Linked DNA regions of Arabidopsis thaliana. The protein of the gene in region 2 interacts with the protein of the main gene of each other region in a pairwise test. Each region holds a gene or a part of one and is shown on either strand. Other genes may lie near its edges. The genes, in order: ZAT and ABCG15.

What was found.
Region 1: the proteins of ABCG15 (region 2) and ZAT interact in a protein complementation assay, tested with the Arabidopsis thaliana proteins (one large-scale study listed by BioGRID).

The regions. Positions count from the first base shown.
Region 1 is NC_003071.7:19,227,460-19,244,110, reverse strand, and holds ZAT (zinc transporter), read right to left. Parts: upstream 8,738-16,651; 5' UTR 8,452-8,737; intron 6,941-8,451; exon of another isoform or gene 6,819-6,940; 5' UTR 6,079-6,818; intron 5,984-6,078; coding exon 4,787-5,983; 3' UTR 4,534-4,786; downstream 1-4,533. Other genes in the region: PSI-P (photosystem I P subunit), read right to left, coding at 14-135, 226-382; AT2G46810 (basic helix-loop-helix (bHLH) DNA-binding superfamily protein), read right to left, coding at 1,738-1,809, 1,894-2,265, 2,344-2,943, 4,346-4,417; PRR9 (pseudo-response regulator 9), read right to left, coding at 9,210-9,308, 9,402-9,837, 9,922-10,193, 10,354-10,473, 10,561-10,691, 10,789-10,950, 11,051-11,237; AT2G46780 (RNA-binding (RRM/RBD/RNP motifs) family protein), read right to left, coding at 13,068-13,189, 13,277-13,643, 13,734-13,770, 13,874-14,021, 14,169-14,304, 14,395-14,595. UniProt on the Arabidopsis thaliana protein: Mediates zinc accumulation in roots and confers resistance to zinc. Involved in sequestration of excess zinc in the cytoplasm into vacuoles to maintain zinc homeostasis. Can also transport cadmium with a low efficiency.
Region 2 is NC_003074.8:7,387,946-7,404,596, forward strand, and holds ABCG15 (ABC-2 type transporter family protein), read right to left. Parts: upstream 7,152-16,651; 5' UTR 6,989-7,151; coding exon 6,757-6,988; intron 6,305-6,756; coding exon 6,225-6,304; intron 5,859-6,224; coding exon 5,397-5,858; intron 5,280-5,396; coding exon 5,157-5,279; intron 5,044-5,156; coding exon 4,912-5,043; intron 4,842-4,911; coding exon 4,557-4,841; intron 4,477-4,556; coding exon 4,204-4,476; intron 4,116-4,203; coding exon 4,008-4,115; intron 3,933-4,007; coding exon 3,552-3,932; 3' UTR 3,341-3,551; downstream 1-3,340. Other genes in the region: AT3G21080 (ABC transporter-like protein), read right to left, coding at 545-796, 938-1,057, 1,156-1,370, 1,451-1,604, 1,840-1,866; AT3G21100 (RNA-binding (RRM/RBD/RNP motifs) family protein), read left to right, coding at 11,217-12,061, 12,408-12,581, 12,709-12,888, 12,988-13,094, 13,218-13,460, 13,554-13,659, 13,769-13,925; PUR7 (purin 7), read right to left, coding at 14,751-14,816, 14,906-14,963, 15,143-15,189, 15,287-15,337, 15,432-15,521, 15,646-15,735, 15,906-15,986, 16,145-16,233 and 2 more.

The DNA.
Region 1 (16,651 bases), on a different chromosome or scaffold from region 2:
TAAGAGTATTTACAGCTTCTTGAGCAGTCTTGACGATTTCAGGTAACTCAGTAGTCTCAGCTTCGGTAGTAGTGGCAGGAGCTTCACCAACTTCAGTAGTAGCTCTCGTCACAACGTTCCTCACAATCTTCCGACCTAAAAACCAAAACCCATTTCGAAAGTTTGAAACTTTAAACTCGAAATTAAAAGTGAAAAGAAAAATCTTCAGATTTATGGAAAACGAACAGTAAGCAGTGGCTTTAGCGGCACGGGTATGAGACTGAATCGGAAGTGTGGGAAGTGAAATGCACGACGGAGAAGAGGCGGAGGCGGAGGCTAGTCGAGAAGGAGGAGCTCTTGAATCGATGATGGTTGAAGAGGAAGAGACTGAAAGAGAAGCCATAGCTATTGAGCTTCAAGCCTCGGAAGAATCTCACAGAAACAAAAACAAAACAGAAACAATTAGGTTTATTATCTAAAAGATTAATGGAGAGCAAGTGTTGAAAGAATTTTGGGGATTGTGGAGATGCTTTCTCTGTTACCAGTCGGAAACTATTCGACCACTCGTTTTGGGTTTCCCGATCAGGATAGTGCTGACGTGGCGGACGTAGAGACGATCTTGGAGTTTTCATTGGATTAGATAGAATTGGGTTTTTTGGCTCCTTTTATAAAATTAGGACTCAATTCTTGAAAACAAAATTTCACTCTTGCTACTATACTATAGTCTATAATAATAATTCAACAAATTCATTATTACTTTTAATCACAATCTCAATACTATATAATAATTACAATTTACAAATACGCAATTCATATACTTTTACGGTTGGTTTTTGATAATAAGATTACAATCAAGATCATAATTCATAAACACGAGCGAATTCTTCTACTTGTAGGCCTTCCATTATGATGAGAAACACATATGGGCTTTTAGTCATTGGGCCTATCAGTTACTCAGAACTTTTCAAACCCATGCCATCTAAGTAAAGATTAGATATTTATATATACATTTTTGCAGCCACTTTGTGAAATAAATCCTAGAGTTGAGATTTATTTACAGTGGCTGCCACTGGCATTTAATAATTGTTTTTGATAATTAGAAAGAAAATCTTTGAATTAAATATTTGATAATCTTCCCAAAATCTCTCCACATTAACTACACGATTAGTTACTAAAATAAAACTTCTGAAATATTTAATATCATTTAATTACTACAAAATTATCATTTTTGATATTGTTTTTCTACATGACTATAATAATTCGATTATAATCATCAAATCGCAGAGATATTAGATAGCATTTAATTACTACAAAATTAAAAAATATTTAGACAATGATTCATAAACATATCATAAATAAAATCAGTGAGTTTTTTTTACGGGACAGATTGGCGGGACGAATTTAAGAGGACGTTACTTAATAACAATCGTAAAGTATAAAATAAAAATATTTTATAGATAAATATAATTTGTAAACTTTTATATTCTAGTTTTATGATACAAAAGTCAAAACCCCGAGAGAGAGGCAAAAGCAAAACAAAAAGACAATAAAAAAAGAGAGAGGGGTCAAACTTTCATTATAAATCTATCCAAAGAAGGACCACAGCTTCTGTAGAGACTAGTACCCTAAAACCAAAGTCAAGTTCCATGCCGAGAAGACTCCAATCACATACGACCAAATAAAGAATTTAATCATGAAAACGAAGTTACCAAAGTAAACGTTTCTTTTTTTATTTTACTTTTTACTTGGATTAGTCAATCAGCTGTCGAAAATCTGACGAATCGCCGCCGTTATCTCATCCGCTGATCCCAAATTACATTCATCTTCCATCTGAGCAACAAACAAAAAAGATTGAATTTTTTCACCATTGTCGATGATTTTGAATAATGGGTTTTTTGTTATATAAGTAAGTACCTTGAGGTTGAAGGAATAAGAGACAGATGTATTGGTCGGAGATGTGATGTTGAGATGAAGAACAGTGAATCGAAGTTTCTCCAGCAATATGATTGATCTGAGAAGTTGTCCTTGTTTCCTCGTACATTGAATTTTTAGGTTGACGTGACTCTCTATCACTGTGGCTTCGATTTTGAGTTTGCTACTTTGTTCTTCTTTATTACTCGCACGCAACTTGTTCGACGAAATGTTCCTGAGACTGTTATCTTCTGGAATTTGCTCTTTGTTATCATCACTCTGTTGACTTCTCTTTTGTGCTTCAAGGGATTGCAACTGTTGCTCTAGGATCTTTACGAAGTCTATTGCTCCTCCTACTATTGACGCTTGGTCTCCCTACGAGAGATATTAGTTAAGAAAATTCGACATTTGATAAAGGTTGGAACTTTGATTTGTGGGTTTTGTTTATTATACCCTCTGGATGTATGAAGATGGAATGATGGAGCGGAGTGAGTTCAGATGAACGTTCATTTGGCGTCTGCGGTTTCGTTCAACCGCAATGTGTGTCATTCTTTGACTCTCTATCTCTTCTATGTTCTTTGTTGGTTTAGTTCTTCTTCTCTTTCGCTTTTCTCTTGTCATCAATGATGCCAAGTTGTTGTTTTTCCGCTTGCGTCTTGAACGCGCATTCTCTAGTGGGTTGAATGGAAGTTCTTGGTTTGAGATGGCTTCATTGACTCCTTCCAAAGATGGATTATGATAGTAGTGGTTGGTTTCAGAATGGATCGGTGAATGAAACTCTGGAACTTCATGTGGGAGGTAGTTTTCGAGTTCCCAAGGCTTTTCAAGTGTCTGGAGAGATAGTAGTGCTAGAAAGCTTGGGTCTTTGAATGACAAAAACGGTGAAGGGTCTTCACTTTGTTGCAGCATTTGTAGAAATGGTATTGTTGTGTCTTGCAGCAAGCTCGGAGTTGAGAGTTGTTGTTCTTCCTCTTCAAGGGCAAAGCTTTGATGATCCTCTACAGTTTCTTGAACTTGTAGGCTTCTTCTCACATTCACTTTTTGGTCCAAACACTGCAACAAAAGAAAAAACAGGGGAAGGAGTTACCTACCAAGTGAGTAAGAAGAGAAAGTGAGATTGAGAAGAGAGATATTAAATTTGGGTAGACTAGTGTGGGTTTTGGTTAGTGGGTCAGTCTAGCGAAACAAAATTAGAATGAAAAATGGAATGTTTCAAAGAGAGGGAAACAGTTGAGAGCAGATTTGTTGGTGTTTTTGGTATAACAAACACATATAGCATTGAATGCAACCATTGTGGACTCTTTTGGAAGGAGTAAATGCAAGTCCACATCTTTGAATCAATAGTTGAAAGAAAAGATTACAAGAAAGATAAAAACTAGTAACGTTCCAAATTGAGATAAGATACATTACACAGAGCTTGTTTTGTCCTTGAATACTCCTCTCCATCAGAAAGCTGAGCTCTTTTTCTTTCTCCCTCTCTAAAACAATGATGGGGAAGAAATAAATGTGAGGAGTTTCTAAAGCAGTTAGCTTTATAATGGAATAGTGGTCTTAAATTGCTATGAAGATGTTGAAGAGAAATTGGGAAAATTGAAAATGAGATATGAGAAAGAAAGGAAAGAAAACAAAGATGAGAACAGATGTTTGTTTGAGGACTGAAGATGAGTTGGTGAGAGAGCTGAGCAGAGCAAGAAGAGGAGAGAGAGAGCGAGTCTCTGACAGAAGCAAGGTCCCTCAGAGAAACATTATTGGCTGTGGCAGTTTTGTCTCGCAGCGAAGACAGACAATTGTGGGGACTTCTGTTAACACACGGAAGATGATGATGAAGAAGAAGAAGTAGAAGAGAAGAGAGTTTCCATTGGTTTTGTGTTCTTACATTTCATGAAAAGCTTGATTTTTGTTACAACCCAATAGATAAAAATTGAATCTTTTGAAGTCTCTTATTTCGTTAACCCGTGAATTGAGGCTTCTTATCTGCTAAACATGTAATTGTCGATGCCTTGGCTTTAAGGGTACTAACCAGTGTTTGCCTGTAAATATCTTTGTTTTTGCATCAGATTTTGTGTTTACGAGCTATCGAATAAACGGTAAAATTCCCTTTTTAACCTTTACTTCTTTGTAATATTTACAGGATTCCAAAGAAGTACATTTTGTTATCGATCAAATCCGAAATTTTAACCTCTTTGTTGACAAACAAGAACACAGATTCGATCTTAATAAGCTCACAAGAAGAAACCTTATCCATGTTCTCTCAATTGTGGCCTCTGTTTATCTCACGTGGTAAGTCTAACACAGCCAAAACAAGATCCAACACAAAAACTTGCCAGAAAACACGAATTAAGTTGTCTGCAATCTAGAGATCTCGTTCATACTACTGTGTAATAAGAGAACCAGAACCGCCTACCAAGTAAAAAAAAGAGTCAACTTTTACATAGTTTTTTTAAGAATGACTTACGAAGATTTCATCTTTACATTGTACTTGCTGATGTAACTTAAAGCTCTGGTTACTTACTCTCAGGACAAACATGGTCCACTTGTGACATATCAATTAAACCCCTAACAATCAGTCAGATTCTGTTTCTAACACAATCACAAGTCCCTGTGACTCCTAGGAAGATAATGAATCTTAAATGAAGGCAGACCTAAGAATGACGTATCTGTTCTAAGCAGTTGTGTCCTTTCACCCTTTTTGAAACAAGGACAAAAAGTTTCTTCCTTGAAGAGGAATAGTGCTTACTTGTGCTCAACCAAACGATGACGACATATAAGTATATAACTATACCAATATAAACCAAAGCAGAGGAACACGAGAAAGTGAAAAATGTAGAAACTTTATTGATTTTATTGTTAATGAGAATGCTGATACAAAAACCCTTCATCAGATCTTACTTAGCTTTTAGCGCTCGATTTGTATCGTGACATGACTAATGTTGTACTCCCTGCGGATGTAATCAATTACCTTGTTGAGCACCATATCTGCATCTGCTTCTGGTCTGATATTGACATGGCAAGCCAATAGCACTTTTCCCACTGTGATAGCCCATATGTGGAGCTCATGAACAGCCACCACTTCTTCCATTTCGAGCAAACCCTTTTCGAGCTTTGTGGCGTCAATCTCTCTGGGTGTACTCTCCATCAATACTTCTAGAATGTTGCGAATCATGTTGATGGTTGTTCCTAGGACAATAACCGAAAAGGCAAGTGTGCAGATCAGATCCACTATCTTCCATTCCGGATTGTACCAAATGATAGCTCCTCCAATCATAACACCAACACTCTGGATGGAATCCCCAAGGACATGCAGATAAGCTCCTTGGAGATTGATGTTTCTCTTTCTTTTCTCTTTTGCTGCGACTTGAGTCTTCGATTTGTCCAACAATTGCTCAGTAACATCCCCATGAGCATGATGCTTGTCCTCTCCATGACCATGACTATGGCCATGTTCATGATCGTGATGATGGTGATGAGTGGTAACAGTCACCCCATGGCTATGATTGTGATGGTCATGGCCGTGGCCATGCCCATGTCCATGACTGTGACCATGATCATGCCCTAGCAGAACAGCCATTATGATGTTCACCACTAGACCAAAGGCAGCAACCAGAAACATGAGGAATCCATTAACCTCACTGGTCTCTGTAACAATTCTGATAATCGCTTCATAAACCAGAATACCCGTGAGCAACCAAATGAGCTGGATAGATACAAGAGCACCCAAAATCTCAATCCTGAAGAACCCGTAAGTCTGCCTAGGAGTCGCTTCCCAGCCAGCAGCCCACAATGAGAAGAGGGAGATAGCAAAGGCAGCAACGTCAGAGAGCAAATGAGCTGCATCGGTTAATATAGCTAAACTATTGGCTTTAATCCCACCAACAACTTCAACACTCATGAACACTAGACACAGCACGACGGCGATACAAAGCTTCCGCATAGAAGCAGAGCGTTCGTGAGCATCCCCGGAAGCATTCTTAGAATCTGAAAACCCACATGGTGCTTCTCCACAGACTTTACTCGCCACAATTATTCTCTCTTCATCAGATTTTCCAACATTAACCTCAACAATGTGACTATGGTGGGGACTTGAAGACTCCATCTGCATAAGAAAAAAAATAGAAGAAAGCTCAGACAACAACGAAAATCCTGATGGATGTACAGAACTCAATACCAACAAACACAAAATAAAGTTACCTCTACAATAAAGATAGTGGAAACCCAATTCAATAGAACCACAAGAGTTTTCTTATTTGGTGATCTGTTTCAACAAAAAAGAAAGCAAATTTATCCAGAAATATCAAATCAAAGGACAAAGACATGTATCCCACCACATTCCCACTACTGCTACAAAAAGGAGGAACTCGTCAAGCAAACAAACAGTGTCAACGCTTTCACACCATATAATAACACAAAGAGTCAAAACCCTAAAATACAGATTCAAGTTTGACCCCTCAGTAAATAAAACTACTGTTTGTATAAACAGAATCAAAGTGTCCCAATCAGATAAATTCCAGATGGCAGAGTCAGAAAGTGAAAAAACAACAAACCCTAACACGAATAATAAAAACAGAGGCAAGCAAAAAGGTCAGATTTTAAAGAAAACCCGAACCCTAAAAAAGTGGCGAGAGGAAGAGAAGGGCTCACCAGGAAGAGATACAAAAGTTGCAGAAATTGAAGATTCTCAGTAGTATATAAGAATCTATCTCTGGGTAAGGGGCCAAAAGAAGAAAGCTATTTAAAAAAGATATGGGGGAGCTCCACCGATTTCATGAGAGATCCACCTAACCCTTTTTTTGGGTCCCCTTTCTCTCTTATCTCCTTCGACATCTCTCTTAATCGGAATCTCTTTCGTTGACGGTGAACATGATGAACACGTGGCCGTTTTTTATGGTCCGTAATTTTTGCTGTCTTTTTTTTTTTTGCTTTTTTTTTACCTGTGTATAATGATTGGGTATCTTGTCAAACCGGTGAAATTTTTAATTTAAACCAATCAATCTAGTGGCTTTTTTAATCGGTTTCATATATTGGTTCGCAGAAGCGGTTTAGCAAAATGATTGGGTTTTCACTTTTGAGGGTTTATTGAATTGACTAAGAAGAAAAATTCCAAAACATAATTTAAAATTTAGTTATGTGAAAACTTCGAATACCAAACTTTATAGATTAACTAAGGATATGATGTTTATGTACGGTTAGTTTTGACATATTTAAACTTTATCACTTAAACTAGTTCTTAAAAAGTTTTAGTGAATTAATTTCTTAAATTTAGTAAAAACAATCAACATTTTTCAAAAACTAATTATAAGTATTACAAACACCAAAGCTTACGGATCAACTAAATATGAGATATCTATGTGCGGTTAGTTTCAACGTGATTAAAATTTACCATTTAAACTAATTTTCAAAAAGTTTTAAATGAACTGATTTTTTAAAGTTTAAGTGTTAAATTACGTGAAAACTTTCCAAACTTCGAACACCAAAACTTACGGACCAACTAAGTACGAGATGCTTAGGCGCAATTAGTTTTCAACGTGTTTAAAATTTACCACTTAAACTAAGATTTAATTTTATTTTTTTAAACAAGTGTTCAATACCTAAATAATTTGTAAACCATATTAAACCTAAAACACCACCTACATGTTTGAATCTTGTATTCAATTAGATTACACAAAATTAAAAAAAAAAAATTATCCCAAAAAAACATTAAAGGTTTAATAGTAATGTAAAAATATAAGTCTAAAAACATTTTTTAATAAATGAAAAACAAGTGTTAAAAACTTAAATAATATGTAAACCATATATTAAACCTATAAATGAAACCTTAAAACCTTAAAGATCTAATAGTAGTATAAAAATATAAGTTTAAAAGCATTTTTAATAAAAGCAAAACAAGTGTTAAAAAGTTAAATAATGTGTAAACCATATATTGAATCTAGAACAGTTTTTAGGGGTTTGGATGATGTATCCAATTAGTTTACACAAAAATTAAAAATTTAACACTTATCCAAATAAAAAAAAACCTAAAGATTTAATAGTAATATGAAAATATATAAGTTTAAAAATATTTTTAACGAAAGCAAAACAAGTGTTAAAAAGTTGAATAATGTGTAAACTATATATTAAACCTAGAACACCTCTTAGGGGTTTGGATGATGTATCCAATTAGATTACACAAAATTTAAAAATTTAACACTTATCCAAATAAAAATACCTTAAAGATTTAATAGTAATATGAAAATATGTAAGTTTAAAAACATTTTTAATAAAAGCAAAACAAGTGTTAAAAAGTTAAATAATGTGTAAACCATATATTGAACCTGGCACACCTCCTAGGGGTTTGGATGATGTATCCAATTAGTTTACACAAAATTTAAAAATTTAACACTTATCTATATAAAAAAAATCTAAAGTTATAATAAAATATAGGTGTAAAAACATTTTACACTTAAACTAATGAAAATATATAAACATTTTAGTTATATAAATGTTATGGTGAAACTAATTAGTTTTACTTAAAAATAATTTTGAAGGTAAATAAAACAAAAAAAAAAAGAATGAAAAAAGTAATACCTTGTTGGATTTAGTAGCAAAAAGGGCCCATAGAGCAAAGCCCATTCCAAAGTCAGATTTGAGCCCGTCGGTCTTTGGTAGCCCTCTCGTGACATCATCCACCACCATAAAGCTCTCCCCTCTCTTGGCTATATCCTCCTCTTTGTAGTCTCCTCTTTGAAGACAAAATTGTCTTGAGAAGAGAACTAGGGTTGAAGAATAAGAAGAAGCGAGAGATAGAGAGTTTTGATTTGTCGAATGTTTTAGAAGAAGCGTTGAGACTCTCACTAATTATTTATTTATAAGCAAAGAAAAGGAAACTGATAATCACAATTAACGGTCACAAAATCTTAGTTTAACGGTCACAAAAAAAGATTTCTTTGTTGATTTTTCTTTCGATAGCTTTTGTTTCCTTTTTTTGTTTCTCTGACTGTGAGAGAATTAATGTGATGAGTTTTAATACATAGACTATAGCAATGGTATATAAATCAAGTTTTATAGAATCTGTTTCTTGTTGGTATGTATCGAGAGAGAAGCGGCCTGGATATGATCACAACAAGAAATATTTCTCAACTTAACGAAATTGGAATTACTGTTTTAGCTTAGCCTGATCATTTGCAGACATATATACAAAAGTTGCCCCAGTATCTCATATTAGCTGAGAAGAAGAAGCCAATCAAATACATAAAAAAAAAAAGCACACTAAAGATTGCAAAAGCTAAATAAGTTTCTGTTATAAAATCAACAAAAGAAATCAGAGGAAAAACTGAAAGAGCTCTTCATGATTTTGTAGACGCGTCTGAATTCACGGTTCGCACGAACTGGCCTTTCACTCGAGGACGTTGTTCTGCTAGCTTCTTCCTGCTCTGGTACCGAACCTGTAATCCATTTTTATACATCTCCATTGAATCAGTTTGATCTTGTATTTGTTTCAGATGCTGTTTTTATGATGAAGCTTGTGTGTCTCTTACCTTTTTGTCAAAGCATCGATCTTTCCTCTTCAACCGGAACTTCATCAATGCAGCTTCTCTCTGGCTTCTACTCCAACGTTGTTTCGCACTTTCTTCTTCCTTTGGTTTCTCTGTGCTACTGCTTTGTCCAGCAATCCCCTCATTGGTGCTTTGAGAACCAGCTTCTACTTCCTTGCTAGCTGCTTTCTCGCGATTTGATTCTACCGGTATGGGTGAATCTTGCTTCTGATTCGTTACTGTGGACTGAAGAACTTGGTTACGGAAGCTTACGCTTGATGATCCGATATTCTCCTGGTTGCTGCTCGTTGTGGCGCTTCCTTGATCAGATGTTACTTTTCTTAACTTTTCATGTGATTCGGTTGGTGTCTTTGGCTCACCTGAAGTACTCTCCTCTAAAGCAACGACGGCTTTTTCTGCTGACTTGCTTTCCTCAAATCTGCAAGTTAAGTAGAGTTATTGATTAAAAACACTAATTACAAGATTTGAGGCATTCTTTATTCAAGCAAGGAAACATGCATACCTTGAGAAGGCCGACGCATCAGAGAGGCTAAGCTTTTGATGCTTGCTTTCATCTTGGTTCTCAAAACTTACAGAGCAAGATCTTTTCAGAGAAAGTCCAAGCTCAGGACCAACACACTCATCTCGACTCTTGTCTTTATAAATACTATCAGGACGCTTGTCAATTCCACCAATCAAATCCATTGTCACATCAAAAGTTTCCTTAAACTCGTCTCTTTCATCCACTGATTTGCCATTCTCCATCAGCTTATTGTGACCATTGTAATTGATAGCCTGCATAAGCATGTACACGATATTAGCTTCTACTAAAATGAGATAAACATGAGATATACAATGCAATCTCAAGATGAAAATCTCACAACTCATACAAAACACAATTCAGAAGGACCAGAACATATATTATGTAAAACTCAGATGGTAATATTTATTATACCTGAGCACCACTTCCTTGATCTGAATGATATCTGGAATCTTCACAAGTTTCATCAGTATCTTCAAGGTTGTGCTGTGAAGCTGGTAAGCTTTGAGCATGAGCAGTAGGATCATCACGCAACTGATCCATAACCAAAAAAGACAATAAGTCTTTCAAGTTTCAAACTTCAACACAAGGAAACCTCAAAAAAGGAAATAAAAAATTTACAGTCAGTCTTCTCCAAACATGTTGCCATAGATTTTTCAACTCGTTTTTCCTCATTGGTTTGATTAGATAATCAGCAGCACCTCTCAGCATACACTTCAACACCATTTTTATCGAATCTTGAGAAGACATCACTATTCATTTCAAACAAACAACAAAAGCATAAGAACCAAAAAACTAACAAAGAGGCGTTTTTAGAGGTATAAAGGACTTAGGGGATCACCATCGTACTTATGACAGGAATGTTCTTGCAAGCTTCATGCTCCATTACCAAAGCAAGCAGAGCAAAACCAGATATAGATGGCAAATCCAGCTCTGTTAGTATAAGATCAATGTTATGTGACTTCTCCTTTAGAACCTCCCACGCAGCTAAACCATCAGAAACAGCTACAACTGTATTCAATCAAAAAGCATGAACCGAGTTTAATTTCAAACATCAAAACATAAAAATGAAAACTTTAACATAAGCTAATGAAAGGAAAGACCAATCGACCTTTGTAACAGCATTTACGAAGAAGGGCAGTGATGATTTGACGAGTTGAGTAATCAGATTCAACTAACAAAACCCTAAGTACAGTTTTAGGCAAATACTTCTCCCACTGAACAACTTCCGATGACTTTACTCTGTTCTTTATAGTCTCCATACCATCATCACTACTTAAAACCACAATCTCCCCCATAGACTCAGACCTCAAAACAAACTGAATCACAACACTTGGTAAAACCAACAAAGCCTAAAACACACAAAAATAGAAACAAGAATCTAGATCAACGAGCTTTAGATCTTAATCTACCGAGAAATATTGTTTCAGACTGAATAAAAGAGAGAGAGAAAATATCAGATGTTGAAGTAAAGAAGAAGGAAGAAGAAAGTTAAACTCTTTAGTTTGGTATCTTTCGATCACAACCACGAAAATATCTTCTCAGAGAAAGAAGAAGACTTTGTTGTATAAGCTCAGAGCAAATAAACAATTTGAGAAATCTAATTAACGGTGTGTAACAAAGCGGGCCTTCACTGAGCTGACGTGGCTTAATATGAGCCATTGTTTTGATTTTCTCTGTATCGCGGCTGATTCGGTGGAGGTGGTCCTCTGCTTCGCAGGTCCACCTTAACACGTGTCATTAACCTAATCGCTCTACGGAAGTGGAGATATTCGTCTGAATATCTAGTGGTCATGTGGATGACACGTGGGTTTCTATTGTAATTGTGTGGCTAAGTTTGATTTTTGGTTGGATTTAATAAATTCTAAAAGGTAGATTTTTTTTTTTCAGCTGCTCTATGTATCATTCAAATTGGATGGCTTTTTTTGTTCCTTTTTTCAAAAAAGTTAATTATATTAAATGTTATTAAATTTTCAATTGGGATTTAACAAATAGTATTATTTTCAAATATTAAATGCCCACTAGTTTTAATTAAATCAAATTTCGTTAGTGGCCGCGTAAATTTCGACTCCAAATGAAAAATTGGATTTTCTTGAATATAAAAATTTTCTGTGGATAAGAAGGAATTCTAGAACCATCTTAATAAAACTTTGCTTTGCGTGGAAAGAATATCTATCGATCTATGATGTGGACAGTGCGTAATAAACAACTTACCATATTCTTGCGTGTTTACATATCTAAGGCTTTAAGCTTTCTATGGCCAACTTACTTACACATATAAAAATTAATGGGCTTTATAAGAATTTAAGCCTTAGATTTTCAAAAGCCCATAACTTATGTATTCTCTATGTTTTGTTTGTTTGGTTTTTATTATAAAATTGTTAAAAGAATAGTAGAAGTGAAATATTATCCATTGACGAAGAAAAAGATCCGTTTGATTCCAACGGTCTTTTGACCGGTACTTTTGTCTTCATAAGATCCCCTTTGGAATCCAAAGACAATAATCATTTTACTCTCAGAAAATGATCATACGAATTCAAAATAATTATCAAAAAGGTTCAATCTTTTTATGATTATAAAACACGAGAAAACTCCAGGTGAAAGTGATCGATGAACGGATTCTTGGTTGATCAAACATTTTATAATCATAATAAACGAACAAATATAGTAAGAAGAAGCAATGTGATTGAATTATAACAATTTCAAGAATTACAAATGTAAAAGAAATGATTTTAAGCTTATCCGAAGCTTAAAAATCCTGTTTAGGTTCAAAAGAAGACATAAAACATTTCTTTTGAACCTGAAAAATAAAATTCCCCAAATGAATGTAATAATCTGATGATGCTTTCTGCACCAATCCAAGTTTTCTTAAGAATCTAAAAGAAAGCCACCAATGCTTTCTCTTGATTCTTTTACCTAAAATGCAATTTGAAACAACAACAAAAAAAAAGAAAGAATGTGATGATGGTTTCTTCTTCTTCTTCCTCCTCCTAAGTACTAATTAAGATTCTAGAATCCTAAAAACGATGGATGAATGAATGTTTCTAGAACGTTGTTGGAGAGATTTGATGATGAGTTAGTGTACAATGAAGTTTGTCCCTTCTTCTGGCTATTGTAGTAGTTCTGAATCAACCCTCTATCTTGATGGTTGATGTTGTCATTGCTTCATTACCATCTTTGCTGCTAGCTTCAGTTTCTGCTTTCTTTGTTGCTGTAGTTATAACTACTGTTTTTGTTGCTGTTGTTGCAGCTAATACAAAACAAAACAAAGAATCAAGCATGATTCAAAACAATGTGACAAATGGTTTTCAATGTAGATTGTGTTGTGAAATCAAACCTGAGGTGGAAGTTGAAGAGGACGGTGATGATGATGAAGGTAAAGATAGAGCCAGAGAGGTTGGGAGGGAGAGGATTGGAGGAGGAGGTTGCTGAGAGCTAAATTGCTGCTGAGAACTGAAGTGTGGCTGGTGAGGCAAGTAAGGATATTGCAGCAGAGGAGGAGCAGGAGGAGCAGTGTATTGAAAGCTGAAACCTTGGTGATGTTGAGCTTGAACTTGAGCTTGAGCTTGATTGCTACTTTGTGCTGCATTGTATTGAGGATAGTAGGGATAAAAACCATGGAACATTCCTGTTGATCCTGCTGATGGATGTCCCATATATGGTGAAAACTGTTGTCCTCCATAGAGATGATGATTGTAGTAGTTCTGCAAACAAACAAAAAACACAAACATAAGAACTTCAAAGATTTATCAGTGAAATGGAAACGACTCTACAAATTTATAAAATGAACTTACCATTGGGTACATTCCCTCTTGAGAATAACCAGAAAACCTGCAGAAGAAGAAAACACAAGCATTTTAAGTTTTGCTTACACACACACACGCACACTAATCAGAATGGATTGTTATTTAATGTGATGATTATGTATTCTTACCCGTAAGTAGAGTAAGGAAATGGGAATTGAGCAGTGTGTTGTTGTTGTTGTTGATGAACAAAAGCAGAGGAAGAAGAAGAGCCTCGAAACTGAGGAGAAGGAGCAACTAATCCAACTCCTGATCCTGGTGATCTGAATCTACCTGTTCCTGGAAATCAAGTTTCCACCAAGAATCGTAAAACAACACTCTTGACTTCTTCACGTGTTGATCAAGTAAAAAGATCAGATTTTTCCAATCACCCTAAAGCTAGTTCCCATTGGAATTAAGAGAGGAGAGAGAGAGAGAGATTCAAACCATGTCGAGGAGAAGTAGGAGGACGAGGTTTTTGAGCACCAAGACAAGCAAGATTGCAATTAGCTCTTCTTCCATCAATCACAGGATTCATGTTCTGACAAGCTCTCATCGCTGCTTCAGCTTCCTTAAACGTGACCTAATCAAATAAAAAAACTGATTTTTTCAGAGAAAAAGAGAAACTTTATCATCAAAGAAACGAAAAAGAGAGAGAGAAGAAGGAACATACAAATCCATATCCTTTAGATCTTCCAGTGTTCTTATCAGTAATGACAACAGCTTCAACGATTTCACCAAACTGTTCAAAGTAACGTCTCATTGTATCTCTCTGAGTCTCCCAAGCTAATCCTCCAACAAAGATTTTCGTCAACTTGGTATCTGTTGTATTATTATTACCACCTTCCATCTGAAATTGTCTCTGTTGAGCCATCTCTGGATTGCTTTTTCCCCAATTCACAAAACCCTAAATTCACATCCAAAGTTTCAATCTTTCTCTCTCTCTCTGTTGCTTTCTTAACACAACCAAAAAAACGAAATTTTGATCCAAAACAGAGGAAAAAACTGTAACTTTTCCCCTCCCAAACAAAGAAGAAAAAAGAGTGAATTTGTGTGTACCCTAAAGAGTGAAACAAGAGAGGAAGAGGCAAAAACCTCTGTTTTAGTAGAATGAAGGAAAAGAAAATGGAGGAAGACAAGAAAGCTGCTAGTGGGAACCCACGACAATGGGGCTATAGAAGAGAGAAGAGAGAAGCAATTGAAAATATGAGGAAAAGCCAGAGACCCAATTTTACCTTTTTCGCTGTATTTTATATATTTATGCGTCTCTTGTGTACATAAACATTTGCTTCGCTGTCTTCAACCTTCTCTCTTGATTTCTGCAAAATTCTTGATAATTAAACTTTCATTATTATCAAAAAAATAAAACCAAACTTTGACCATTCGTCTCCAAGCATTAATAAAAATAACTGTGAGAATTTTTTAATACATATCGAAGAGAATAATCTGCTGAATTTTTCTCTATTTTATTTTATTTTGGGTTTATTTTAAATTATTTACACTTTTTTTTGTGCAGTACATAACCCAAAACAAAAATGTTTTTGTGGGTCTTGACTTTGTGGCACAATCTTCTAAATTCTATCTTTCCTTTTTTCGAATTTTTTGGATGTTTTGTATTTTTGAATTTTAACTGTAAACCCTTTATTATAAAAAAACAATGAAATAATTATAAATGTAGGGCAGACCTGGTTTTTAACACAGAAGACAGGTTGTCTTCCTCAAAACATTTGCAGAAATTGCCTATTCTCAGTTTTCTTATAAAAAAAAAATATTATCCTTACAAAAAAAAAAAATCATTGTAGCTTGTCTTTTAATAAAGTCTGTTAGTACAACTTTCTTTTTTATTCGATCAGAGCCGTCAAAATGTATCATGTGTCACTGTTTACTACTACTACTATTAAGTACTAACGGTAATTGTGGAAATATATGCTCTTTTTTTTCGTTTCCATTTTATAGTCTATGATATTTTATTTAAATAGTTTATTTAGACCTTGTTGAAAACTCTCAACGAATGATCGATCGATGCGTCTACCAATCATTAGCCGTTTCTTTTAATAGCATTAGCAGTTTTCTCAACTTAAAGCATTCTGATAACAGATTTTGCTAAAACTTGCTAGTGGCAAAATCTATAGAAACGTACCAATGTATTAGTGATTAGTGAAATGAAAAAATATACGTATTGAAATTTTGAAGTATTGTGATTTATGAACAATTGAATCAACACATGCGTTTGTCAGATCACGATGTAAAAGTCAATTTCAACATTCGAAAATTTGGTAGCCCAAAACTTTATTCTTTTCCTTAACAACATCAATCAGTGATTAATATATATATCACCTTCGTAATCAATATTTTGTGGCAATAATTATCATTATTTTCCAATTTTGGATTTTGCTTCTAAAGCCGTTCCACATCTCTTTGATTTTGAGGCACGTCTACTACGTTGTTTTTGGAATATAAATATTTATTTTACAAAATGTAATGTATAAATTTCACATATATAAGAAAGAAAGTGTAGATATGAGTTATTTGATGATGGATAGTGTCGCACTGATAAATCCACATGAAGGCTGCAAGATACAGGCAGGCATGCACATGTTTATGCTCAGCCACTTTCCCAATATTATTATATAGTATTAAAAAGTATTCTAACTAAAATATTTATTTTATTCTCAACTTGAACAAAATCACCGTTAGATGGATTGCACTTTATCATCCAACGGTGTGTATCACAAGACTTTATCACGCGTACGTGGTCCCGCGTGCATGGGATCATTGATCTGAGTGATGTTTTTATTACAGTACAAAAATTGACGCGTGACGTGTCCAGCGATTTTGTTTCCTTAAAGTCTGAAAATCCGTTATAAACGCTGTTGATTGGTCGTGGCGTATGAACGTGACAGCGAATGATACGGATTCCCGTTATTTTG
Region 2 (16,651 bases):
CATTGTAAGTGTAAAGCCTCAGGCCCAACAACAGGAAGCCCAAACTCTTCCCCAATCTCACAACGGGACAAAGTTACAGAGCTCCCCTCTGCAACCTCTGCAACAAAAGAAGACATACACACAAAAGGAAAGAAACAGAGCAGCTACTTCTTCGCCGGTTGTACTCTCAAACCGTTTCAGTCCTATCATCTCAGAAGACAGTGGCTAGATGGTCGACACTTGTAAACAGATCCAATGTTGCTACAAAGATCCAGAATGTTCTTTTGCTTCTATAAGTATGAGTCTCTAGAATCAATTGTAATATTGAGTTGGTGTATCAATCAAAGTAAGATTGAGTACAAATCTCTTTTCTTCTTTATTCACAGTCATCACAAGAAAAAAACAGATATCCCTACATTTTGTTGCTAAAAAACAGGAGGAAAAACAAAAAAAAGTTTCAATAGTGGAACATTTGGGTTTAGAGTTTGGTAAAGAAAACTTATTCCAACAATGACAATGCTGATCTTAAATAGATAACCAGATCTCATAGATGATAATGCTGATATTATGAAAGCTGCACATTAAAATAAACTTTCGCCTGAATCACCCTTGAAGCTGGTCGTGCTCTCTCCTTCAGCTTTTGGGCCACGAAGAAAAGAAGCCAGGTACACACAAGGATTGCTATCACAATCTCAGGGAAGCCCCACCATCCTGAATGCGTCACCTTTACTCCAAATTCATTCATATTCATTTCTTCTCCTGTCATTTTCGGCTCGTCCGGTGATAGAGGCCCGAGAAAATTGTTGTTGTGCCCTAGCTGTATTAATAATAACACCAATGTTCTTATGTTTAACAACCTCTAAGATTCAATCTTTTTTTGATAGCTAGAAAACATTATTTTATGTTCTTGAATAGTTCTTGCGAGTGATAAGCTCATAAAGTCAAGCTATTGACTTACCTTGATGGCCCAAGATCCAAAAATCATGTAAGAAATCGTGTAGGAAATCGAGAAACGGCAAAAGATTTTGGGAAGATCAGGAAGAAGACGGGAGAATCCAGAAGACGTCATGATGATTCCCTTTCCAAAACATAAAAACAGACATCAGTTTATTCAAGATCTTTAGTAGCTTTCTTTGAAGTTAGTTAAAAAGAAAACAGAGGTCGCTCTGCTCGTACAATAAGGCCAGCTCCAGTGAAAAGACCAGTCAAGAAGTTTGGAACAAACGAAGCCACAACCATCATGAGAATCTCTATTACAGAGAATGACAAAACACCGGGCAAGTTCCCTGATTTGTAAGTTATAATTCCTCTAATGCGAGTGCCATTATGCTGCAACTCTTGGTTCCCCCATCTCTCCAACTCATTCCACTCAGCAGCCTCGGCTTCGGCAGCTACAAATACGCAAGAATCTCAAAGAGTAAGTCCCAAAACGGCAAAGAAAACACCTTTTGTTTCAAATATCCAAGCTTACTTCTCAAAGAAGGCAGACTCCGATGGTCGTATTTAGTCTGTTGAATAGAAAGCTCCTCAACAACTTCCTCTGATTGAGTAAGTGAAGACCAATTATTGAAATAGTTATCTTGGTTTGAGTACAAACTTTTTCTATCTTTATTTCCATAGGGATCCTGCCAAGAAATACAATAAGTTAAAATGTTCTGATTCAGAACAAATAATTGGTCTATTCAGAACACATAACTACCAGTACCACTAGCTCAAGAGGAAGTAAAAAAGAAGAAGAAGAGGAATCTACTCTAAATCTTTAACTGAAGATGAACGCATAAGCCAATTCATGAACGCTAAGGTGAACAAATAGAGTGACTAAAACAGAATCAGAAAGAGAAAGGGAGGAGGTTAATTTACAGTGAAATCGAAGTCGTGTGTCGCCATTGAGTTCTATGACCGAAGATGATATATCGAGAGAGAGATTAAAGTTCATTAAAACAAAGATATATATACTCAAAGCCAAAGATAGTCGTGTAATTACACCGTTAATTACTTGGGCATTTACAGATATAAGTTGGGTCCCCAACAACGCGTAGCAGCTTTTGAGGACTTCAGCAATTCTCCATAGGCATAGTTTATCTAAGAAAATTGGGGTCGAAACCCTTGGCCCTTAATGAACAAGAGGCCTTGACACTTGACTAGCACGTCTTCGTCCTCTTTCATGGCAATAATTCAACCAAGTTGCCTTTATTTTTGTATTTTCTTTTGCCTACGTATTTACTTTACTTTATTGAGGTTTATAGTTATGCTTTTAGTATGCTTTTTTTTTTCTTTCGAACGACTAAAGTCTTCTTGCAATCATGTTAGAATGTTTAAATGGTGATCAGTATCGAATTTATGATTAACACTAGTACTTTTTGATTGGATGTGATTGTGAATTCCTCTTTCGTAGAAACTGACTCTACTACTATTGTCTTTTACGTAGAGACTAATTTAATAACTATCGACTTTAATTCGGGCACAAGAAAATGTATTTGGGAAATTAATGGGAAGAGAGTCAGAGTCAACCAAAACATACCTTTTGAAGACTATTTTGCCAATTTTGTCTTTGGTTAAACGGTCCTGTTCTCTCTGTGTCGATCCATATCAAGTCCTCCAATGTATTGGACGAACAAAGATCTTATATAAAAAAAAACTTAACTTTTAGATACTATCTTATGAGTATATGGACATGTTTCATATTTGTTTGTGTTTTACTTTCCTTTTGTTAAATGGATAGTTTTACAGTCCTAATAATTGCTCTAAAAACATTATGCATTTTTTTTATTTTGGCTAAAAAAATTATGCATTTTATTAGAACACTCCAACTAAATTTATAAGGAGAATTTTGATAACTAAATATATGCATGTGGGTCTTCCAGAGAGCTTCATTTTCGTTGACTAAAGGACAACGTGTCAATTTTTGCTTAATTTCACACAAAGATGGCAAATTAATAATCGAAATTTCTTCGTATGTTGTTTTCTTAACTATTATCAACTTATATAAGTTTTTCATTTCCCCATTTAAATTACCTAGTCTTTCTTTAGTCCATCTAAAATTTAGTTAAATTTGAGTTTCCTTATTTCATGTCGGAAATCTTGAATGATCACGATAATATTGTACTTGTAAATTTTAGTTTTACTCATGATAAAATTTTGGTATCAATATCTCCAATTTAGTATATACTGAGTTACTGACTGACCGAGCCCAAAATGTATTTTTTTCCTCATGGGATCTCAAGAAAATGTTCTTTCTTTTTCTTTGACCCTTTACACCTAAATAAACTACTTTTGGTCATTTAAAGTTGACTATGGGATCCGGGTATCTCTGCGCCATACTTATTTGGACCAAACATGTTGGTGTAACAAGGTTTTCGTTTTTATTTGGCCATACTCTCACTGTGCGCAACACTGTCTTACTTGTGTTACATAAACCTTGAAGTAAAGTTTCAATAGTGGAACATTTGGGTAGGGTTTATCAAACGAAACTTTGTTATCAGTTTGTTCTTTTTCTTCAACAATGACAAAGCTGATTAAGATGAGATCTTGATGAAAGCTTCAGAACACATGCATACATTATATTAAGTCTTTTAGTAGTGGATAGGAGAGTTAAGGCCTTCTTGAGAAGAAAGTGAGCGGAGAGGTTGGTGTCTCCTTGAAGACATTGACGACAGTGAAAGAGACAGAGAAGGCATTCTCTTAAAAGAAGGTCTCCTATCAAGATTCCTCATCGTTCTTTTCGCCTGAATCGCCTTCAAAGCAGGTCCTGCTCTCTCCCTCAGCTTTAGAACCACGAAGAAGAGAAGCCTGTAACACACAAGGATTGCTACTACCGCAGCTAAGTCCCACCATTTTGAATATGTCACCTTCACTCCAAAGACCTTCTCTATCACTTCCTCTCCTGTCATTTTCGGCTCACCCGGGAACAATGGCTCGAACTCTAGCCCTAGAAAGTCATTCTTGTACCCTCCCTGCAACACTCCCAAATGTATTATTTTTATGTTCTTGAATCGTAATAAGCTCATAAAGTTAGTTTCTTGACTTACCTGGATAGCCCAAGAACCGTAGCTTATGTAAGAAACCGGGTAACGCCAAAAGATTTTGGGAAGATCAGGAAGAAGACGGAAGAATCCAGAAGTCATCATGATGATTCCCTTTTCCAAACACAAAAACAGAAATCAGATTCAAGATCGTTCAAAGCATTATTAGTAGAAATGAAAACAGAGGTTGCTCTGTTCTTACAATGAGGCCAGCTCCAGTGATAAGACCCATCAAGAAGTTTGGAACAACAGAAGCCACAACCATCATGAGACTCTCTATCACGGAAACTGAGAAGAAGATGTTGAGACAGAAGAAAGCGTAATGCGAGAACCCGGGACGAAACTTCACCAAGTTGTAAGTAATAGTTCCTGTGATAACCGAAATCGCAACCAAGAAAGGGAAAGAAGAGATGTAATTCGAGAGGATATAAACCGAAACGCCGTAGTATCCACTTAGCCTCTCCTTATAGAACACCTGAAACAAAGCAAACCCGCATTTTCATCGATAGAGCAATTCAAGATTTGTGAGATTATAAGTAGGGTTTTATTATTTACCTTCATTTCTTCGAGGAAAGAAGGGAAGCCTCCAATGGACATGAAAGTCATGAAACCAGTGATGAATCCGCCGCAAGAAACACGGGCTAAGATTGATGTGTAGCTATAGCCAACGTCGTAGAAGATGGTTCCTACGCTTATAGAAACAACAATGTAGCTTATTATTCGTGTCCAATAGTAACCGACATCACGACACATGTTTATGAATGATCTTGCTGTTAATGTCCTAAGTTGTTTCCACCAGGTTGCTTCACTTCCTTTTCTTATTTCCATCTCGAGCCCTTCCTGCGAAAAAAGCCAGTTATGGAATCCAAGCAAGCCTGTGAGTTAACTTGAACAAGAAGTTTAAACTTACGATGTTAGATAGTTCTCGAATCCTAGATTTTGCGGATTTCGCATACTTTGAACGCTTGTAATTCTCAACAAGCCTTGCTTTGATCACAGATGTTGCTAGATTCATTAGAGGATCTGATGTAGCTGGTGTTTCCTGTAGTAGAGTAAGTATTAACCTTAGAAAAATTGCAATAAAAACTTGACTATGTATCCAAAAGACTTTAATTTGTGCAATGTTCTTGATATTGATAATGGTTACTACCACACCTGAATTCTCTGAGATCCTTTGAGTGTAGCTGTGACTGTATCAAAGTCCGAGTTTATACATCGCAGAAAATGATCGGAAGGATTCCTCTTCTTCGGGCACGGGAAACCCGATTCTGCAAAGAACTTCATTCAAACAAACAAAAGCAAAACAGAGTTTTCTTCACTATCAAGGCAAGAAAATAAACAAAAGAAATTGTGTGTTTTTTGTACTGCAAGAAAACAAAGAGTGTAGGGCTTTACCTCAACAGCAGACTTGGCTTCACCAAAGTAGACAGACTCACCACTCGAAAGCAAGAAAAGATCATCGAACAGCGCAAAAACCTCGCTGCTGGGCTGATGAACCGAGGAGATTACGGTTCTGCCATCGCGTGCAATGTTCCTAAGCGCCTGAATAACGAAAAACGCAGAAGCACTGTCCAAACCACTAGTGGGTTCGTCGAGAAAAAGGATTTGAGGACGAGTGAGGATCTCCAAAGCAATGCTGACACGTTTCCTCTCACCGCCACTAACTCCTCTGGCGTGCCAGTTTCCAATGACTCTGTCTGAACAGTCTTGAAGACCAAGCTCCATGATTGTGCCTTCCACGATGTCACTCACTTCCTCTTTAGACATATCACTTGGAAGTCTCAAGTGAGCTGAGTATGTTATTGTCTCCCTCACTGTTAGTGTCCCCAACAATACGTCCTCTTGTGTCACATATGCCTATATATATAGTCACAAAATGCATACACTTCAAGAGCAATCAATGTAAATACCTAGTCATAAAAACTTTAGGTTTTTGTTATTTTGAATGTAATGTTTTATTGTTATACATACATGGGCTATAAATATATTTTTAATGTGCCAATATTATCACACATTTATAAGAAAATAATGTATAGATCTTTGACCTTTGCACCACTATGTACTTAGGACGGAGCTGTCTAAAATTTGTTGCCATAAATGAAAATTGATAATGTTTCGCCACCACAAGTGACAAGCCACAAGGACGTTACTATTATATATTGAACTAACAAATTAGCTGCATGTTGTGAAATTGTGGGTAGAAATATTAACGAGGAAACTTACTACGAGACCGTAGTCTAATCTAGCTTTCTTGCCGTTCAGTAGAAGATTACCGGTCATGACCACGTTTCTTGCGAGTCTACCTGTGGATAATTCGGGAAACTTTATTTTATTAATCGATTACAAATTTTATCTATGATGTGAAAAAAAAAACAGTAGTATAAAATTGCTTTCTGTTTGTATTGGGATGTGGAAATGAAGACAAATATCAGAAAAGGCAGCTCCAGAAATCAATTTTGCATTTATGAGGAAATTTTCTGCAGTACTTTTCTGCCATTCCTTGCATGCAATGCACCCGAAGTAACAATACATATAGAATTATAGATACTATTCAATAATCAAACTTTCCAGTATATATATCATAAGGATGATCGTAACAACTAGAAAAAAACAAAACAAAGGGCTTTATAAGTTATAACTTTAACTAGCAGGTTAAAGATGATCTAAAACATAGTTACAAATAATATTATCAAACCAAGATATGTGTTATGCATGCAGGCTGCAGCAGTTAAATCATATAACTGCAAGAACGAACCTGCAAGAGAGTCAAGAAGAGTGGACTTTCCGGATCCGGAAGGACCCATTATAGCCATGATCCGACCCGGTTCTGCATAACCGTTTAGCCTTTGGAGCAACCTTCTGGTTGGACCATCACTGAAATTGGGTATTACCACCGTCAAGTCTTCCCACGCCAAATACGCTCCACGGCTCATCTCCAACTTTGACGGCAGCTGCCTCCGGCCACTACTCGAGCCCTCCAGTTCCATTTGTTTTTAGTTTTGTCTCTCTAACTAGCTATAACAATGCTATAGAGAGAAAGAGAGATTTTAATGTTTTGTTTGTTTCTTTTTCGTTGGTCGGAGAGTGAATAGTAAGAAGGAACAGAAGAAACAAAACAATAAAAAAGGATTTATAAGCTTTTGCAATCACCAAACAACTAAATTCATTAATGGACTGTCTTTAATACGGCAACATTTACAAGTGCGCATGTATATCTACAATTTTGAGGAGTAAAATGTCAATGCTAGTTATCTACGATATAATATTAGTATTTTTCTCAATAGTAAATGCGTATAGAGATGGAGATAGATCGATGGCACGCGTATTAATATACGTACAATGCGCTTTTATTGGCTTATGATGGGTATGTAATAGTCGTATATGTAGATCCTATTCATATAGTCGTGTAGATTGAGATTACATTTTGAAATTAGTTTTGCAACTAATTGTGACATTAAATTTTGTAATCGTCGGACAAAAACTCTAAACTCTCATAGCAAAATAAGAGAACCTCTGCAGTCTGCATCCTCAAATATTAAATCAGTTAACTGAGTTAAACCTCTTTTTCAAAATAAAAATAAAAATCAGTTAAGTGAGTTGATTAGCCACTAAAATTGAAGCAAGTCTACGAAATCTGACATGTTTTTAAACGCGAAAATGATGCAGCTTTATACAAAAAAAGTAAAGAAATGTTTCATTTTTCATTTAATTAAGAAAATGAGCAGCTTGGATTCTGCAACAGACATGAGCTGCTTTGGAATCATTGCTTGTGCCTTATAGAATTTGTTTCGGGTAAGCTGCTTTGGCTTGTTTGTAGTAGGTGTTTTTGCTGTTTTGATGTTTTTTTGGTTTAGGGTTTTAGACCCGGTGATGTCTTTGTTTTCACCGGCTTTTTATTTCAAAAACGTATTTTTCAAGATTGTTAAGGAAAATTTCAGATGACAAACGAAAAAAAATCAAACAGAGAGTCACGGGTCTTAAATTAAATGCGAGATCGTAGTTGAAGCCCATATGCTTATCTACGGTTACACATTCATTCTTGCTTTATAATAGTATGCTTCTCCATTTATTATGCTCTAACTTTGTTATGGCATAACTTTATTTATCATATGATATATGACAGGGAATTTTAAAATATGAAGTGATAACGTAACGTTGATAAAAGAATGAATGAAGTGAAAACCTTCCAACAAAGATAAGAATTAAGAAGTAATAAGAACCCATACAACATAAATGACGTTACAATAAAATGTGATATTATAAGTAGTATGGAATAAATTTAAACCGAGAGGGTAAATAATATACATAGAAGAAAAAAAAACAGAGATTGAATAACGATATAACGTATATATATGGTCACAGTCTCATAGACCACGAAAGCCACCTAACTTACAAAAATGAAACCTATCATTGATTGGAATGATGTATTTGTCAACACCTATTAAGCTATATATGATGTAATAATGCTCTATACATATAACATTTTTATGTTGTTGTAAGAAAATATAATTTGATTCAATGTACCAATTACTTGGTTTTAAATGCTGATATCTATTCTTAGCTTAGAATGATTGAAAGTCTTAACGTTTCTAAAGCAAAGATTATGTATAGATTTGGTCGTACCAACACATCAAAAGTCCAATGGCTAGAACTCATCATATTCAAAAACCCGCTTGTGGGCAGAAGCTGTTCTTTGAACTCTAGTTATAAAGCCATTTAATATTTCTTTTCTTTTTCGATATGAGATATTTTAGCGATGAGTTAGTGATCATTTAGTCACTTTCCTTCCAAATGTGTGAGATCTGAAAAATCTTAAAAACCATTGCAGGAAAAGTTTTATGACAATCACTTCTTCTAGGTTAAAATGCAACCAACAACGTAAAGAATCACCAAACACATGGCAAGCAAATAAACGTGGAAGTAAATTACATAGTTGGGCCGCCGGTGGGCATTTTTACTTATTCTCCGGGTTCTCTTCTTCGGAAATGTGATATATGCTTTACTTGGGCCTAAATGGGCTTCTTTTATTGACATGCAGATTTCTATCTTTAATCTCGGAAGAAACAATTCGTTTTAGATTACACGGATTGGAAAACAGCTTACAGATTAGAGTGACCAGACTTGCCCAAAAGAACAAAAGTGTGCAACATGATTTGTTTTCTTCTTTTTTTCTGGCATTCATGATGTGACACCTACTCATACACCTAGGATACTAAAACTTATTGCCCCATTTTTAATTTTAAAATGTTAGATACTAGTCCTTGATAGTCATCATTGTTTTATCCATTTCCGGAAAAGTTTTAATACAGTTTTTAAAATCTTATTTAGTCAAATTAAAAAACCACATAAAAAATAACGAAAATTTGTTTATTTTTTGGCAAATTGATAATTCTCGTTTTCCATGAAGAGCATTTACTTTTTGTTTCATTATTGTCTGATGCATGGTTCTGCCAAAAAATAATACGAACTCTGGTCAAATTGACTATGACCATTGAGAACCTCACGTGTCCCCGTAAAGCAATCTTCGCAGTTGACATAACTGCTGCTACAGTTTTTGACGGTTGAGATCAGACGAGAGTATTCAAGATTCGGTGCACTCGTCGTAGTGGAATTTGCCAACTGATGAAAAATTTATGTCACGCGCGGGTTTTAGTGAGTCAGGGCAAAGTAAGCGCTCGTATCGAGGCACGGTTTCAGTTTTTTTTGCGGTAAAAACGGAAAAAAGTTAAAGAGGTTAAAATTTGTTTGGTTTTGTTTTCCAAACAAGAATACTAATTTATAGTAATTTCTTCTAGTTACATGGTTGTTACACCGAATATATCACAGTCAATTCTATGTTCTTTAAAATTCAAAACACAAGATTTTTGCTTAGTTTTATATAGTGGTCGTGATCAATAATAATATCTTTGGCAATCTCTTTCATGTACTTTTTTCACACCTTCTCAACCAAATATGCATCTTGGACTTGGACACATGGGAATAAACAAAATTGAGGAGTATTTCTTTTGTATACCATGCATGGATTGGATTATAGCTATGAAATACATTAAATCTAAGACCTTTGAATGACATATCTTTTTATTAAACTAATTTTTTAAAACAAAAGTAGAAGTTTGATTGAACTTTATAAAGTAGTGATCTCATAACACAAAATTTAATCAATTTTAATCGATTCATAATAAATAACTTGTAATCCCTAAATTAGTAATTTTAAATTATGTTATAGACGACAAAAGTACGATTGCTAGGGTAATTTTCTCGTTGTCATATTTCGACAATAAAAGGGAGACACGTGAAATCAACGTAGAATCAACTTTTGACTACTCCGAAAACTAATGCGCATTCGGCATCTATACATAGGTTACACATATAAAACCAAATCCGAATAACTCGCAAGCGCATAAATATCAAATATTCTTGGAAAGTTGTGTTTCAGAATTTATTTTTGTTTTAATACTTTTAGATCGCTAGCTAATTAATATTTTAAATTACAAAATTAATTAAATCTAAGTTATTTGTAGAAGATATCTTCTTATTAAACTAAATTGTTCAAATAACACATAGATTGAATTTTAATTAAACTTTATATATCAGTAATTTTGTAACGTGTATATTTAATTAAATTAAGAAAGATTTATATATATATAAAAAAAAGTCAATAACACATAATTTTTAGTAAAAATAATTAAGGTATATGAATGAATAATAACATACTTCCCATAGAATCAAATCCAACTAGTTGACTAAGAAATTAAGAGTTAAAGTTTTCTAAACCAAAAATGTTGCATCCAATGGGATGTGTATATAAACACCCTAGGTTGGTCAAGGGAGAAGAAAAATATACTATTGTTAAACAAAATCTTAAAGACTAATTTATCTTTTTAGCAAAAAAAATTCGATTTTTAACTATAATCCCGCTCCTAGTCTTGGACAAACTTCAAAAAAAAAACCCTAAACCCAATATCACAACAACAGAACCCGAAAAAAAAGACCACATTACGAAAGTAGTTTTTTTTTTGCTTTAATAAAATGGTTCATTAGAAGACAAAATCATAGTCTCAAATCTCCTAAAAAAAAACATCACATTTAACGCTACAAAAAAACCCAAGTTAGTACCCACTACTCTCTCACAAAACAAAAGAGCCTCTTCTTCTTCTTCTCAATCTCTCTGATAGAGAAACCAAAGCAAAAAAAGAAAAGAAATTTACTGTGACCATGGATCCAGGAGATCCTACTTCGATACTTTTCACAAAGATCAGAACTTTAGAACCAGATTTCGCTTCCAAAATCATTGGTTACTTGCTTTTACAGGACTTGGGTAAGACAGATTTGATGCGTTTGGCTCTTGGACCAGAGACTCTCTTGCAGTCCGTTTGTCTCAAAGCTAAATCTGCTTTAGGTCTTTCTTCTAATGGATCTTCTTCTGCTTCTTCGCCATTGAACCCTATCTCCAGACCCATTAACATCCACCGTCATTCTCTCTCTCACTCTTCACCGGGAAATGGGTTTTCGAGGAACCCTTTGTCTCCTTCTTTTGCTACTCCTGGTTCACTCGGAAGTAACCCTAACATGATTTCGAGTCCGTTTCAAGCAAGTTCGTCTCTTTTTGCTTCTGACGGTGCTGCTGCTGGTGATTCCACTGGAAACGGCGATTTCCTCGATGAGCAGCAACTAGGGAACTACTTGTCGTTTCTTAACGAATCTTCTTCGAAGAATAACGACGAATCTCTGGATCCGTTTGGGTTCTCGGCTGATAACGGCGATGCCCATTTGCATAAGAGGAGTTTCTCAGCCAGTGATGCTTGTTTTGGGTCAGAGGAGCCCGGATTTGGTGGCGGGGGTTACAACAGGTTCCTTCACGGTGGTTTAGGTGATGATTTTGATTCTCCTGGTGGTTTTGGCTCGCCGGATTATGTTTCTAGACAGCAAGAGGAGATTGTGAGGATGAAGATGGCTCAGAGACAGCGAATGGCTGCTGCTCAGTACTTGGCGGCTACTGGTTCTCCAATGTCGTATGAGAAAGGCCTCAATTTTCTCTTGCATCAGCGTAATGCGCATAGGTAATTATGAAATGAAGCTCCTTTTTTTTGCCTTAGAATGTGTTTTTGGTTGGTAAAGTTTTCAGATTTTACAAAAGAAATGTGTTGGTTGCAGTGAATCATGGAAAAGTTTGTATCTTTGAGATTTGTTTTGGTCTGAGATGTCAATTATTGCTTCTCGAAGTCGTTTTCGTATGGTTTTACTACTTTTGGTATTCATTTACATACCAATGATTGTTTTTTGTTTTTTTTTATTGCTTACGGCTCTTTAGTCAATCTTATGTTTGAAGTATGATTGAAGATATCTTCGTGTCTATGATATGTGAATTCATAGTTTTCTGTTTCCGGTGGTGTTTTGTTTTTGCAGATCAGGAGCAGGACAATTTGGGGAAGAGGGTTACTGGTTTGGTAGTCCAGGCCGGCATGAAAGGGATGAGTTTATGGGGATGGGAGATAAATCTAACTCTGCATCTAAACAGATTTACTTGACATTTCCAGCTGACAGCTCCTTCACAGATGAAGATGTCTCCAATTATTTTGGGTAATCTTTTACAATTGTATCAAAGCTGTTATGTGTTTGTTTGCATCATTAAAAGTTTGGTGGATGTCTACTAATGTTTGCCTGGCTCTGTTATTGTAGACTGATTATGTTTGTTGTTTTCTTGTAGCAATTTTGGACCAGTGCAAGATGTTAGGATTCCATACCAGCAGAAACGGATGTTTGGGTTTGTCACTTTTCTCCACTCTGAAACTGTGAGAATCATATTGGCCAGAGGAAATCCTCATTTCATCTGTGACTCACGTGTGCTTGTTAAACCGTACAAGGAGAAGGGAAGAATCCTTGAAAAGTATGTTGAAACCACTGCTCATGCCTTGTCTCTCCTTCCCATATTCTTCTTCTCTTTTTGTGTTCCCTTTTTCTTATAATAATCCTTATTGAACCATAGCAGGAGGCAGCAGCAACAACTGCTGCAGCAGATGGAGAGAGGAAACTTTTCTCCTGGTTCAAGTCCATCTGGAATGGATTCCAGGGATCTCTTTGATTCTCATCTCGGTTAGTTGAATTTATTTCCTATGCTTGATTCCCCTTGTGGATATGGTTTCATCAGAGCTCAACCTCTTCTTTCGATTTTTTTGTTATGGGTTCTGAGACCAGTCTTGTTTTGTTTGCTACCAGCACCAAGGATGTTTTCTAACACACAGGAGATGATGAGGAGAAAAGCTGAGCAAGCTGACCTGCAACAAGCAATAGAATTCCAAAGGAGAAGATTTTTGAGTCTGCAGTTGCCCGACATGGACAGTGAATCGTTTCTCCATCACCAGCGTAGTCTTTCCATTGGATCCCCCGTCCATTTTTCCCCTCGTGTCAATCAAAGCATGCTCTTTCGATCAGAAAGCACCAGTGATGAAGTCTTCGAAGGTAATGGTGATCAAGTCTATCTTGCCTACATCGAACTTTGACTTTATATAGCTTTTATTTACTTTTGCCCTCTTCCGTGTTACCTCTTAGCAGGTAATGGTGATTCAGGACATCAGTCTGAAGCAACCCGAGCTTTTCTGAGTGATACTGGTCATAACATCAGCCAAGAACGTGGTTACAATAGCCATCTTAACAAAGGGTATGGCTAATATGATAAGAATTAGTTTCTGATCATTTTCAGGGCTTTAAGTATTTTTTATATGGTTACACATCCACTCTTATCTGTGCTTCTTTTATTATTGCTCAAGGCAAGAGACAAGTCTGGAGAATACTCTGCCTGATAGCTTCTTTGCTTCCCCATCAAAGACAGGTGAAACCCAACACCCCGAGTTTGAGAAAGAGAATTGTGCTACTATCTCTGTTACTACAGAAAATAAGGCAGCCTCGTCACTTCAATCAGCCTAGCAATTGGTAGGTGGAAACTTCCCCTTAATTCAATCACATCATCACATAACAATCGTTAACACTTGTTAATACCTCTTCCTGGAACTTTCCAGGTTCGATAGAAGCAGAGAGAAAGCGTGAAAAGGTAGGCACTTTAAGCCAGACTGAAACTTGAAGACCCTCTTAAAGGTTATTGGGTTATTAAGTGTTGACCATGGTTTTAGTTTCTTTGGTTGCAGAAAAGTAGAGACTGATAAAAGCAGGAAGTAGAAGAATTTTGTCTATATGTAGAAGCTAAAGCCGGTTATATAACATGGAACAGAAAGAAGGGTAGGGAGACCAGTTAGGATTTTACATATCTCGAAAAAGGCAGTTGTGGAATGCCAATATGCAATAGAAATTACAGCTAAGTACTAACCTCGACAAAAGCATTGATAGGCAGAACAATACAGTGACTGAAACCTTCAAGTTTTAAGTTTTTCGTCTGTTCATCGATGATTGTTTTACCTTTTTACCGGGTCACAAGCCCTGGTTTGGGACAAGGCTACTTCAGTTGTCAATATAGATGAATGTCTTTTTTTTTTGGCTCGTCTTCAGTGAGACTATCTTGTTTATAGACATGGGAGATCAAAAGCAAAACTGATCCTTTCTCATCTGATCAACTATATATTCTAATTCACCAAGCCTGTGTCAATTAGTTTTTTTCATGTTTATTCGTTTGTTGCTCAATTAGAACTTAAGTTGTCTTTGATTCATAATCCATGAAGACAACAATAGAACACATATGAATGCAAAAAGAAACAGACTTATGCTCTCTGCATCCTTGGCTAAAGGTTACATTAAAGATCAAAGTTGACGGAGAGATGAAAGTGCTTGGCTTGTGTTCCTTGAGATTCGGTCATGTATTGGTTCCTGTCAACAAAGCTAGAGTTCAATACACTTGAAACTCCGATAAACTGAGGGTGATAAAGTAGATATTTTGGGCTTGATCAGGATCATACCTGAGTCGGAATAATGTCAATTCTTGATCCAGTGATAGTTTCATACAAGAAAATGTACCTGCCATCACGGTTTCTTGCATCAGTTTTCAATACCAAGACTATAGCGAAAACTAACGTAGACCAGCGAATCTCTGATCTCACAGAGCCTTAAAGCATGTACACACAATGTTTCTTTCCATATCGAAAACATGAACTAGAACAATCCTATTATAAAGTTTACAGATCAAAATACATTACCGCCAAGCTAATTCAGTCACGAGTTCTGCTGGAGCAGCAGGCAGGACCTGACAAAAACCGACGTTCGAGACACCACGAATTTTAGCAGGGGTTCTCAGATAGAGCAGGAAAAATGGAAATTACATTGTGAAGATGTAAGCATACCTCGTCCTCATACGGATTGCAGTTCTCTTTGAACCACAATCTTAGGAACTCCTATTTGGATTAAAAAAACGAGAACATGTGAGTGAACAAAGTACTGCAAACCAATGAAACCTGACTGAGAGCAAAAACAGGCAAAATCACTAACCTTATCAACATTTTCAGGCTCCAGGCCTTTTTGGAAGCGCTCTTCATATGAACCCGCAAGCCAGTATCTGCTGGAATCGGGTGTATGAATCTATGAACAATGTGAACAAGTGGATGATGATTCTAATCAGTGATTTTGGCAGTAGTGCAGATATGTGTTCAACTTTGCATTCAAAGAGAGACAGACATGGAAACGAAGAGAAAAGATAACAGACCTCATCAATCAATAAGATTGAGCCATCACTACTTCTTCCAAACTCATACTTTGTGTCCACCAATATCAGTCCATGTTTCTTGGCCACCCCCTGAAGCAAGCATGATATATTAAAATCTATTAGACCTTCCAACAAAGCACAACATTTGAATATAGAAACCAGCAAAAATATATCAAAAAACTGATTTCTTGTGGTCTGCAATTTAAAGATTATGAAAATCGCAAAAGTCTATGGCTTTAGACGGAGGAGTTGTAACTAACCTGCCCAAACTCAAACAAGCTCAAAGCTTTCATACTTGCTTCATCAAATTCAGCTTGAGTCATGAATCCACCTTCAACTATCTGCATGAATCATCTGGAGAATTAGAAGAAACACAGAACTACACAATTGTGGCTTAGATATTCTTGTCTTACAGCTAAGATCACAAGAAGAGCAAACAAATGACTCAAAAACTTTTCTATAGTTTCTACATTTATTTACTGTCTCAGGGTTATTAGACCTCATTTGGAGAGATGGGCACATCATGATCCGCAGCCTTAGTTGTTGGTGTAAGTATATTAGCTGGAAGCTTCTGGTTTTTAACTAATCCTGCATAATTTAGTAATCAGCATATCAGTGATCTTCTAAGATGCACTTAAAGAAGAAGACAACTAATAAATGGCAATAAAGAAACTGTACCATCTGAGAGCTCATTCCCACAGTAGTTCCGAACACCTTTATTGTACACCGTCCATAAAGATGTGTCAGTACTTCCAGTCACATATCCTCTAACTACAAATAACAAACATAAGAGACCAGCTTAGAACTAAAGCATATAGAGACTGCATAGGGAAGCGTCTGACAAGGTACTCTGTATCAAGATCCAATACACACTAACCCACAAACTCTATGGGAAAAACCGAGCATTTCTTTGCGATAACAACATTTCTATCAGGAGATGAAACGATTGCATTTGGAGTTATGTGCTGTGTGTTATTGAACCACCACAAACTTGTCTCATTAAGAA